2 linked regions of the Xenopus tropicalis genome follow. The protein of the gene in region 1 purifies or fractionates together with the protein of each later gene. This does not show direct contact. Links are inferred from orthologs where the notes say so. Each region holds a gene or a part of one and is shown in the gene's direction. Other genes may lie near its edges. The genes, in order: hnf1a and pcbd2.

Region 1 (6,693 bases):
ATCTATGTCTCAACTCTGTGCAACTGCGTACAAACCAGGCACAAATGTACGGAAATCCAGTTTTGTCATGCGAGTGACGTCTGTGCCATATTCTTTAGGCGCAAGTGTGCTGCACCTTTTAACACTGTATGCAAAGGAGCCTTGAAACTAATGTCTGGTCAGAAGCTTCAGGGTTTCTCTGTGTCAATAGGTGCAGCAGCAGCAGTTGGAACAGAAGGCAGAAAGGAATTGTGTTGAGGAGTGGCTCTGAGCACAATTATACAGAAGTGGAAGGAGCACAATTTGATGCAAGTACCTTTAATAAAAGTGGTTTTACATGCAACTAACTGCTGGCAAAATATGGGGACCACAACTGCACTTGCAAGTGTTACACATATCCTATGCTATCCTATGGTGTAATCCAGGCATTTGTCCCTATTACCCCCAAGAGCTGGTGGGCCTCAGGCTGCTCTCATAATTTTCAATTTTGTTTTTCATTTTACAGTGACCCTTGTTGTGATGATGCCATCTAGAGATCTTGGTAGTGACAGCTGAAGCCGCAACTACACAATAAAGTGCTTAGACTTTTTATTTACTTAACACTATCCCTGCCAGGACACCCAGCAGTAGCAGCAAGCAGCAAGCACAGCATGCTACATTTAAACAAAGTGGCTGTGCTTATGCAAGGTGTGAAAAGATTAGTTGTTTTCCATGACGGAAGTGTTTTTTTGAGACAAGTTCATTCCTGGGTGTTGTGGTGCATAGCAGCACATGTACAATATGCCACATGCCTCTTCCCCTGCAGTAGCTTGCTGACTGACCAGGGCACCCAGAAGTCATTGCCAGCTGACGATTTGTAGCAGTAGTTCTCTACTGTATATCTTTAAGTTAAAAATCCACCATTTGTAAGATTGAGGAGATGCAGTACAAGCAGTGTCGGACTGGGGGGTGCAGGGCCCACACACAAGGTACCCCGCGTCCCCTGCACCCCCTGCCACCCGCCAGACATCCTTTCCTGAACGCGAGTAAGTGAAACGTGTCAGGTGAGGACATCGGTGGCCGGGAGAGTGGTAACAGGGATCGGGTCTGACCCAGTCCGATCCTGAGTACAGGAGGAGAGAAATACCATTCTGCTACATTGTATTTTTCACTCTGGCGAGTAATACACTTAAATATTTTAAATCCACAAATGTGGATTCCACATGTGCTTTTATTATATATGAACAGAATACCTGTAAGGTCAGAAAAGCGATGTACCTCCAGTATACTGTAAATCAATAAGACACCGTTGTTATTGTCTCTATGACTTCCCTTGTTAACAGAACTATCTAACTGGGGAAGAGATTAAATTCCTAACTAAAATTATTTTAACCCTTTTAGTGTGTGGATAATCACACATTAATGTTAGAATTACAGTTGTATAATGCCTTTAATTAAACCATTAGGTTAAAAAAAAACAAAACAAAACATAAATAGACCAATATTTAAAAACATCAGGTAGGGTTTTATTAAATAAATTAAAGTAGTCACTTTCCTTCTCTCCTTGGTGCCTTCCTCCCAGTGTCTTTCTTTCGAGTTCCCCTTGCGATATTTTTCTCTATGCATTTATTTATTGTATTTGATAAATGTGTGTTTTTTCAACTTCAACTACTAGGTTACTATGTATGTGTATTCTCCATGTAAGTTCTTTCAGGTTTCAGCCACTCACAGCTTTTTTTCTCGTCTCTGTTGCATTGTCCTTTACCTGGTGGTTTGTGCCACTTTCACCTTCTCATTCTCTTACTTTTACCATATTTCCTAATATTTCTCTCTTAAACTTTTGGAATTTCCTTCTCTCTTCTACCCCTCCTCATATTCCTCTGCACTCCCCCCTCTCTAACTCGTGCACTTTGTGCAGAGTTGGGGTCCAAAGTTCAGTAACTTGCAAAGCACAGGGATAAATATGAACCTTGGAGGATTTACTCTGCTCTGATGTAAACAGAGAGTGACAGGGGTCCCTTATCTATGTCTCAGAGAAGCCTGTCCGGGGGGTGACCACTTGCTGGTTGTGGCTGTACAGTGTGTTTTTTGGGGGGAGGAGGAAACAGAAGGTGGGTAGAGCATGGACTCCCGCCCGCTGATCCGTGTTAGAGCCGCAGGATGGTGAGGCAGTAGAAGGCAACAGCGAGGATGGCGTCTCAGCTCAGTTACCTGCAGCGAGAGCTTCTTCGGGCTCTGTTAGAGTCTGGGGTGACAAAGGAGGCTCTGAAAAAAGCATTGGCTGATGGTGAAGATTACACATATCCCAATGTCCCTTTGGATGATATTAGAAACCTGGACGAGGGAGAGAACTGTGTGCAACTACCTAATGGGTTAGGGGATCCTCAGATATCAGAAGATGAAAGTTCTGATGATGGTGGGGACTTCACACCACCCATTATGAAAGAGTTAGAGAGGCTGAGCCCTGAAGAGGCTGCTCATCAGAAGGCCGTGGTGGAACGTCTACTGCAGTAAGACCTATGTGCCTCTTATGCCTTCTCTATATCACCTAGTCCTACACTTGATATCCTTGGTTCTCTGTCTTGTAATCTTTCACACTATTTTTCACTCCACCTTCCCTTTTTCTATCCATATTCCCAAATCTACACCCACTGTACCAACACTCACCTAAACAAAGCTCATTTCCCATAGAAGTTTATGTATTCCCTCCAAATTGGATGAAAAAAGTCGAAATCTTAAATGCCCCATTGGGATGACTGCAGTTCATAAAGGGGCATACCTATATCTTCAGTTGGAAAATTGGGTAGGAATCCCTGGTGAAACAAGTTTAACACAGACCAATCAATTTCTCCACCAAATCCCTCTAATATTCTCTTGCCAGCTGGGATGAAAGACAGTAAAAGAGACATTTCTTCTTCTCTACCTCAGGCATTGTTTGGTCCATTTTTACAATATTTAGCAATTTTGTTTATCTTGAAATAAGCCCATTGATATTTTCATGGCTTCTTTTATCTACTGCATTTATGTTTTGCTGGATAAAAAATCCAAATCCAGGGTATTGATCCTTAAGTAGTGTAAACATTATTTGCTTTTTAAGGTTCCTTTTTGCTTGCTCTTCTGGTATTGTCCATTTCTTAATGTTATCCCGTTCTTCCACTCTTTAGGGTGCTGTAAGTTCAGTTCCCTGTCTTCAGGTAGTGTGGGTTCTGCCGATCACTTGGGCTCAGGGGGCCCGCACTGGTTACTAATTACCCACATCCTCTATAATTTAAACATTTATAAACCAAATGGCCTCTACCTTTTGTGATGATTAACTTCTAATGGTTAACCCATCCGCTGCAATTATAGAATGTGCTGTACAGCAGGCCCATCAACCATGATAAATTCCATGTCTTGTTACTTTCCACTCCCAATATGCAGCCTAGAGGTTTGGAAACAACTGTAATTGCAATGTATTCTCTTCAGAGGTTTTGTATTAGGACATGCCTTGTCCCGGAAGAAATATTCAGACATGACCTTCTAATGTGCCCATTTTTCTCCTTTTCTTTCCAGACTTCTTTCAAATTCAGCATAGTTCAAAGTTTACATTTTCCTTTTAATGCTTTGCTTTGTAGCCATTGTTCTCTAGCACCATCCAGTCTGACAACTAGCCATGAGCCAGGCAAGGCATCTGTCTGTTTTGGGTCTCCTAGGATGAAAATCATTTCATATGGACTTTTCATTTAAATTGGTTGAGGTGCTATAAATTATCAACCAGCTTCTTGTTTCCTCTGAGTTGATAACTAACTAACTGGGTTACTTATTGTTCACGGAACAAAAGGGAGGTGAAACCGCCCTTAGAAATAACCTCTAAGGATGAGGCGAGGAAACGAGGGGCATCAGATTAAGAAAACATAAAAAATGTAGGGCACCATTGTTCCAACTAGGGTGAATTCTTATAAGACATTTCAGACTGAATAATTCTCATGCACTTTTATTAATTAACAAATGTCTTTTTATTTAAGATACCAGATAATTTTAGGATATACCAAATGTGTCATTGGTTTAACAAGGAGGCCTAGTCAAAGTTAACAAGTGCTGATTCACATTTAATCATAAACTGCCTGCTCGTTCTAATAACATGTTTGTGTAAAGCAATACACTTTTCGCCATGAACCCCTTGATTTTCAACTGGTCCATTTGGTGTTCCCTCCCCCAGGGTTTGTATGAAGCAGTCATTATTTGTTTATGAGTTGGACTTTGTACTGAGATAAGCTGGTATCGGCAACAGAGTGAATCAGCACCTGCTGTGGGGGTTGGGGACTGTGTTTTGTATGAAGGTTTGTGTGTCCATTAGATCCATTATAGTTTCTTATTCTTGCTCAGAATGTTGCACTGATCTAAACATCATGCTGGGCCAAATCTTGATCAGGGGGGTTCAATGATCATCCTGTGGACCCACTGAGACCTGGCTACATCAATGTGCCATTCCAGTCCTTGTCTGACAGGCTTTGCAAACCTTCCTAACTTTTGGTCAGATATCGGTTAGGCAGGCCTTCCCGAAGGCCTCATACACAGACTAATAAGCTGCCAACTTGGACAACATCTACTTAAAGGAGACCTGTAACCCTTAGAAATAATTAAAAACCCTCTTTTATTACTCTTGTATTCTTGTTTCCTTCAGTCTTAGAATTCACAATAAAGAGCAAGCAGGCAGGAGCCATTTTGTGGATACTTATTAACGCAAGCTTTGCATCATTCAAAAATCTGCTGTATGCACTGGAATATGGACTTGATGCACATACACAGCCTGCATAATTACATTATAGTGAGTAGGGGATGTGAGCAGTACAATGATGTCTTAAGTGCATGTTTATGACTGGGTGACAGGTCGCCTTTAAAAAATGCAGTTAAATCACAGGTCCTCATTTACCAGCAGTGGGCAAAAGGAAAATTAGATTAATTTGATATCTTTTTATTTCCAGAAGTACCATTGGGAAAGTTTGCACCTGTTTGTAAATCAAGCACAAATTGCGTTTACAATTTAGGTGGATATAGGTGTTATGATCATGTGCTCTTTCATGCCATTTGCATGCTTATCAGTTTGAGCAAAAGAAATAGCTTGTGCAAAATATACAGTGAACCCTACTTTTAAAAGATAGCAAGGGCAGTGTACCTTCTGTTACAATAAGTGCTAAGGCACAGTAGTAGTAAATGGGCACCTAGAGGTTTGCTTTGAGTAAACAAGACTCCCCCGGGTATTTATTATTCTGTAGGGGAAAAAAACCTCTCTGTCAAACTATAAATTACATTGCTGCAGTTTTGCTATTATTTTCTTTATTGTGCCATATCCAAAAAAGACAATGGCACTGTCACTGGTAAGGTAGGGTATATAGTTAAGCATGAAGACATACAGAGCTACTAGTAACAGCTACTTTTAGTGGCTACAGAAACAGACAATCCTAATCATTTACTAATAATTGTCTATAAGTGTGTTTTAGCAGAGGCGATTTTCAGTATTGTCTATAGCAAGGTATTTAGTAGCCATGACAAGTAGCTCCTACTAAGTAGCTCTGTGTGTCCTAAAATAGGCAGTATAAACACCTGTGCCTACATATAAACTTTATACAACTATATGCATCAAATGCAGGTTCTGCGTTAAAAATGCATAATTTATTTGCCATTTCCTTACTTCATGATAAGATAAATGCATCAGACCTGAACCATTATATATATATATATATATATATATATATATATATATATATATATATATATATATATATATATATATATATATATATATATATATATATATATATATATATATAAAGCAAGACAGTGAGCCGCACACACAGGGACTTAGTTAGAAAACAAAAAATTTTTATTAATGAAAAAAATCCAACGTTTCGAGCACCAACTGTGCTCTTCCTCAGGGGTTTTTCCCTGAGGAAGAGCACGGTGCTCGAAACGTTGGATTTTTTTCATTAATAAAAATTTTTTGTTTTCTAACTAAGTCCCTGTGTGTGCGGCTCACTGTCTTGCTTTATACATGTTTTTTGCAAGCACCCGGGGCAGTTGATTACTATTAGGGTGTGCTCTGTTTTTCTCTGTATATATATATATATATATATATATATATATATATATAAATATAAATATATATATATATAAATATATATATATATATATATATATATATATATATCTTCCCAGTAATTTGTAACATTCCACATTACCTTTCATCTCTACCAAAATGTTTACTTTTCTTCTCTCTAATACACTCCCAAACCTCTATCTCTCTATCCATATAATGGATCTCCATTGCTCTTCTCTCCTTACAGTATATAAAATGTAACTGCTGTACTTCCTTTCTCCATGATACAATTTTATTAAATCAGCTTCTCTCTCCAGCCTCTGGAGTCTATATCTAGGCCTCACCTATTTCAAGAACTACACCAAAATTAGAATTAGGGAATTTCTAAAGAAATACTATTTTTATATACAATATGCATAGATTCTGTGCAGACAAAAGGTTCTAGCCAGAATAACTTGAATGTGCACATTTATGAGGCTGGGCAAGTGACAGAGGTGTTGTATTTTAAATCCTCTCATCTGTTTTTTGTCTTCCCAAAAGATCAAATTACTTGCTTGCGCCCACTTTAACACTTGTTCAGACCACACAGCAATCACTTCAACAGCATGACATGGGCCATAGATAATGAATACCGGCTGGTAGTACAAATACAGGACTCA
Region 2 (6,680 bases), on another chromosome or scaffold:
TGGGTGTTTATTTTGCAATAAGCTTTACAGGAAAGGTAGACATAAAATAAGTACAATATAGAGCTGATCAATAATGCAAAAGGATTTGCAGTCTTAAACCTGTTGTCATCTGTTAGCTTGCCATCTATGTCTTAGCAGCGATAAAGTGACATCTGAGTTGTTGCTTGGCATAGGGTTAGCGTCAGAATCAGTTACTACTTAGAAATACTGTCTTTACATTATAGCTTCACATACAATGACCGTTGCTGTTCATTGCTTTCTACTCTTCTATAGATGTTAACATTTCTCATAAAATGTTACAGTTACTGCCAAGAAATATTCTGTTTGCACCAGCTGGACAAACAGAAATAATATACATGAAAGAAAGTATTTACTTATGGTGTTATTTGCCCTTGAATTCTAATCCTTTTTTGCCCGTGTACTACTTAAAATATTCTTGTTAATACCATGAATGTACATTATTCTCTAATTTAGAGAATGCCTGGGACCCTTCAGTTGCTAAATACAATAAAGAAAAATGCCCCTATACTTCTAGACTGAAAACTGTGCAGTTTTTAGCACATTGTCTGGATCTCATCTCAGTCGCTGGAGTTTTAAATGTAACTTTTATTTTATTCCTGCCTATTTGGTCTGACACCTTATCTTGTCTGTAAATTATTTATTTGTAAATAAATAAATTTATAACTAATTGGAGTTTTTTTTTTTTTTTTATTGACCAGGGGTGGGCAAACATTTTGGCTCAGGGGTCACACTGACTTACAGACGGGCCGGGCCAGCATTACGCCAAGGGCTGCCATCAGAAATCACGGGGCCTCTCAGCTCCCCCCAGCATCCTGCAGCTCCCCACCCCAACATCCTCAGCTCACCCCCAGCATCCTTCGGCTCCCCCCCAGCAGCATCCTGCGGCTCCCTCAATCCTCCGGCTGCTTCTGACCCCGGCCGGGCCCGGATATGGCCCGCTGGCTGTAGTTTGCCCACCCCTAATATAAGTGTGATGGCCTTTGGGTGCCAGATTTTAATTGCGTTACTGTGATATTGTGAGTGCTGTTCTGAGACAGATTCTAAATGGTCTTCATCATTTATTATTTGCAGTTTTTGAATTTCTTAGCTTTTTGTTCAGCAGCTCCCCAGTTTGGAATATTGACAGCTATCTGGTTGCTAGGGTCCAACTTAACATAGCAACCAAGCAGTGGTTTAAATAGAAGCAGGCCTAAATAGAAAGATAAGTAATACAAAGTAATAATAAAATTGTAGATTCACGAAGAAATTGTTTTTTGGCTGCTTTAAAAAACTGGAAAAAATCTAAATAGGAAGGCAAATTAAAAAACTATGAAAAATAAAAAATGAAGACCAATTGCAAAGTTGCTAAGACTGGGCCATTCTATAATATACTAAAAGTTAACCTAAAGGTAAACCAACCCTTTACTTGCCTTACTATAAACATATTGCTAATACCCCATGTCCTTGTCACTTCTAAAAATGTATCTATTAATACTTTTATTACCAGGGTACATAAGGTCATTTTCTGTGGGCCCGACAATTAACTTGCATGAAACCATCAGTCGATACACTGAAGGTGTCTGTGAGAGGGAGGCACGCCAGAGGATTACAGTACCATATCCTATTTACCTACATGCCGGAGCTTCTCATTACAACCTCGTGTTTGTAGTTAACTCAGGTTTTCCTTATGATGTGTCATTGTTGGCATGGAGCTAAATGCATAAAAATTAAGTTTATAAAGAATTCTTAGGAAACAAATTGAGCTCCAGCTAATGGATTATTGTAGGTACAGCCTACATACAGGATATCCAAAGGAATCTAGCAAGCAAAGGTCTGGAACTACATTTCTGCTGCAACCAATGATTTAAAGGCAATTTCTGATATATACTGGTATGCTTCTTCCCTATACAAATGTTGTTCATAATAGCAAATACAAAATGATGTCAAACACAAAAGGTCCCATAATACACTGCAGTGATTAGATGTCTGGGCATTGCTTACTCTATATAATCAGATTTGAGTGATAAAAAGAAGTGAAAGACACTAAAAAATAAAAGAAACATTTTTGGCAAAATAACTGTAATTGGAGGAAAGCTGATGTTACTTCAATATTTAAAAAGTGATTACGATCTCAGCCTGGCTACCATAGGCCAGTAAGTCTGACATCTGTGGGGGGCAAGTTATTTGAATGCTTGTTAAGGGATCACATACAAGATTATGTTCTGGAGATTGGCATTTTGTACAGTAATCATTGGAGAAGTACTCAGCAGCACACTGTTACAAAAGAGAAAACATATGTCATCCAGTTGTAAGTCCCATTTGCCTTAAAATCTAATTGTCATCCTGGACATCACTTTGCACACCCTGCCTACCCATACTGGCCATTCCATAGCACTGGAGAACTACTCAGCAGCACAATTGTGACAATGCCTCCCCAGCTCTGATCTATTTTTCAAACCACAATGACACGACTGCGTGGCTACAGCTTCCCCCCACTGTTAATCAATGGGTATTATAACTACTTATGGGTATACCATAGAACTCAGGTAAGGAGCTGTAAGAGAGCTATGGTACAGCCTGGAGCTCCTCCCCAGCAGGAAGCAGGAAGAAGTGTAAGTTTATGCCGTGGGGAGGCTCATAGCAGGGCCCACATGTTTCTGTATGACAGCTCAGTGATTGCGGTATAGTTGCTTAGGCTGCTCAGAGCGGCACTGCTGTCAGTCATATTGCGGGGAGGTATAAAAGGCATGGGCAGCTTCCTGTTTATATCGAGGTTGGGAGGCAGTCGCGCATTAGTCGCAGCTACCTGCAGCAGAGCGCTTTCTAAGATGGTGAGTTATCAGAACAAATGTTTGCCTTGGTCTATACACTTAGGATATGGTGGGACCTGGATTATCATTTACGTTGCCTCTGCTTTCCCATCCCGTCTACTTACAACTCCCCCATTTTTTTTAGCGAAATGGTTTATGCCGCTTTTCCCTCACATAGCCTGTAACCCGTAACAACCAATCGTAGGTTTAGCTCTAAAGCATAAAGCGGTGCATGCTGCCTTCTGATTGGTTGTTAAGATTACTGTAAAGCAAATGTTGCCTCTGCTTGCTCTGAGTTTTAACTGTTTCAGTCCAGAAGACGCCAAACCCTCCACTTTTCCTTGGAAACGGACTCAATAATGATAGTTTGTGTATTATTTGCCATTTTTTCATACTGGTTTATAAATGGAGAGTGACTTCACAGAAAAGGGCTCCAATTTCCTTACAAAATAACATGTAATGTGCCTGTATAGGTTGCACTATGTGGGCTAAGCCTGGTTGCTAAGTTATATTGCTCCCAAGCAACCAGAAATTCCAAACTGGAAAGCTTCTGAACAAAAAGCTAAACAATTCAAAAACCTCAAATAATAAAAGACAAAGACGAAATGCAAATTGTCTCAGAATAGCTCTATCTACAATTTACTAAAAGGTAATTTGAAGGTGAACACGCTCTTTAAAGCTTACTTGACTTCACTGAGCTATACATTTTAAATAAAGCAATTCTAGAAGTTGATTAGCACTGCAAATTTAACATATAATACTTTGTTACAAAAAGTACATTGTTAAGGATTTTTTTTGGAGTATTGCATTCACTAAACTTACCCATTTTATGTTAAGGATATGATTATTTCTAAGGTCATGGCGCCATCTAGTGGTCAAAAGTAATTACAGGGACAAGCAGGATTTTAAAGAACCAGGGTTGATTTTGATAATGGATGTCTAGTCATTTATCCATTGCAAAGCACCGACAAATTAAAAGCAACATGGGGAACTTTAAAAATGACATTTATTTTGTCCTGGTTCAGTAACCTATAGCAATCAATAATATTTTTGCTTTTAAACAAATGACTGGTAAATGCTACTTGCTTATTGGTAGAAAATGTTACACTTTTATCATACAAGACCTACTATTCGGGTTATTTATAAACACTGGGCAGATTTGTATCAGGGCAGTAACCCATAGCAACCAATCAGATCTGTACTTCATTATTTTACTTGCAGCTGGCTAAAAAATAGCTAAACACTGGTTGCTTGCTATAGGTTAATGCCCAGGTGCCAATTTGCCCAGTGTTTATAAATGAGCCCCATGTGTTTATACCTAAAGTTGCAGTGGGGAATACAAAGTAGTTGTGCTCTATGAAGGAAAAAGGCAAAATCAGCCCAGAGACGTGGGCATTTACATTTGGGAAAACAGGGGAGCTATACTCGCAAATGTATCCCAAAATGTACCCTTGCGTGCCACAAATAATGACATTTTTTTATGACTGATATTTTTTAAAATTTAGATTTATTAACTCATTTCTTTTGTATTCCTTCCATTAACTTGAGGACTGAAAGGCATGGTGTCTAAACTGTTTTTAAATGTACTGAGAAAAGTTGCTCTGTGCTCGGTAGCGACTGAAGTTGCTGCTGCAATTAATGTAACAAATTACAACAGTTGACATGGAACTGACCTGGCTTAGTGAGCTGCTACAGGGAAACATGAGAAGCGGAAATCCAAATTCCTTCATTTAAACAATAAAAACAAAATTGTTTCTGTTGTACTTATGGAAAATGCAAATACAAAGTTTTGTAAGGATGAACTTACCCTTTAAGCACTCAGCACTCATTAGCATGCCACAAGTAAAACCAGTTACATCTAAAATTAAAAATATTTATATTTTTATTGTTTATCCAGCACCTGCACGCAAACTGTTTTATTCTGTTCTGCATTTGTATTGGCCGTTGGCCATAGGTACTGCTTCCCTGACTGAAATGATGGTTTGAAAATGTATTTACAGGTATGGGATCTTTTAATTGAAATCCCGTTATACAGAATAGTCCCCATTATAATTTACTAATTCACATTTTAAAAAACTATTTGCTTTTTCTCTGTAATAATAAAACAGTACCTGTACTTGATCCCAACTAAGATATAATTACCCCTTATTGGGGCAGAACAGCCCAATTGGGTTTATTTAATGGTTAAATGATTCCCTTTTCTCTGTAATAATAAAACAGTACCTGTACTTGATCCCAACTAAGATATAATTACCCCTTATTGGGGGCAGAACAGCCCTATTGGGTTTATTTCATGGTTAAATGATTCCCTTTTCTCTGTAATAATAAAACAGTTCCTGTACTTAATCCCAACTAAGATATAATTACCCCTTATTGGGGGCAGAACAGCCCTATTGGGTTTATTTAATGGTTACATGATTCCCTTTTCTCTGTAATAATAAAACAGTACCTGTACTTAATCCCAACTAAGATATAATTACCCCTTATTGGGGGCAGAACAGCCCTATTGGGTTTATTTCATGGTTAAATGATTCCCTTTTCTCTGTAATAATAAAACAGTACCTGTACTTGATCCCAACTAAGATATAATTAATTCTTATTGGTGGCAAAACAGCCCTATTGAGTTTATTTATATAGATTATTTTTTTAAGCAGACTTAAGGTATGGAGATCCAAATCCAAATATTCTTTGCAATACATCCCATACCTGTATTCATTTTGTATGTGGTTGCTTTATTTTCTTCAGTTATTTATCTTATTGTTCAAAAGCTTTACAGTTTGGAATTTCAGCAACTATCTGGTTGCTAAGACCTTGTTTACCTTGGCAACCAGGCAGTGGTTAGAATGTGAAACTGGAATATGGGGGAGGAACTGAATAGAAAGATAAGAAATAAAGTATTGCTCACAGAGTAATATTTATTTGGCTGCCGGGGTCATTGATCCCCATTTGAAAACTGGAAAGATGAAGAAGAGGAAGCATTTAAGCCTAAATCTCACCCTAGTTGCCCTTAGGGCTGGGTCCCAGTGGGCAACCTCACAGTTTGGGAAGCGCCGAACTAGATAGATCTGGAAAGCAAGGTTCCTCCATACTGGACGGGTTTATTGAAATAATAAAGTGGATACCACCTGGAGGGCAAGGCTTCTCCTTATTGTGTGGGTTGGACATTTCTTACCCCACCAATATGTCACTGGTTACTAACTCCCCTTTCTGATGATTCTGCAGACATCTGAGGCCTACTTCCTGACACCAGAAGAAAAAGCACATGGTCTCCAAGAGCTCCAGGCATTGGGATGGACTGAAGTCAGTGAGAAAAATGCCATCTACAAAGAATACAAATTCAAAACCTTTAACCAGGTGAATTTTCAGACTACTGTACACTATATAAATTACTCCATTCCATAGCCCATTTGTAGTCACATGCTTCATTGCTGCTGATTGGACATAATGGTGCTGCATATATATCTGTAGTGAAATCTCAAGAGACCAACATTTTCTGTGTGTTGAAGCAGGAACAGGACTGGTATTAATTTAATTAATGCAGAAAAATAATCTTATGAGAATTATCAGTGCTTAGACACTATTTTTCTTCTGATTTTGCTCTTTTTGCTTTGATATGAGCTGCTAGAGTCACATATAGCAACCAATCAGGGATTGGCTTTTTTCAGCCGGCTGCAGAAAGAGCATCTCAGTACAAGTGAGGGAAAACAGGGTTATGGGAGATAACTCTCAATACAAGTGAGGGAATACAGGGTTATGGGAGATAGCTCTCAGTACAAGTGAGGGAATACAGGGGTATGGGAGATAGCTCTCAGTACAAGTGAGGGAATACAGGGGTAGGGGGGATAGCTCTCAGTACAAGTGAGGGAATAC

Evidence for each region.
Region 2: the proteins of hnf1a (region 1) and pcbd2 purify together in Homo sapiens (affinity purification with mass spectrometry; 4 studies listed by BioGRID and IntAct, with this or other methods). This does not show direct contact. The link is inferred for Xenopus tropicalis from reciprocal best matches to the Homo sapiens genes HNF1A and PCBD2.

What each region holds. Positions count from the first base shown.
Region 1 is NC_030677.2:151,972,307-151,978,999, forward strand, and holds the start of hnf1a (hepatocyte nuclear factor 1-alpha), read left to right. Parts: upstream 1-2,025; 5' UTR 2,026-2,148; coding exon 2,149-2,468; intron 2,469-6,693. UniProt on the Homo sapiens protein: Transcriptional activator that regulates the tissue specific expression of multiple genes, especially in pancreatic islet cells and in liver. Binds to the inverted palindrome 5'-GTTAATNATTAAC-3'.
Region 2 is NC_030679.2:26,131,489-26,138,168, reverse strand, and holds the start of pcbd2 (pterin-4-alpha-carbinolamine dehydratase 2), read left to right. Parts: upstream 1-2,462; coding exon 2,463-2,546; intron 2,547-2,601; exon of another isoform or gene 2,602-2,747; coding exon of another isoform or gene 2,748-2,831; intron 2,832-6,032; coding exon 6,033-6,164; intron 6,165-6,680.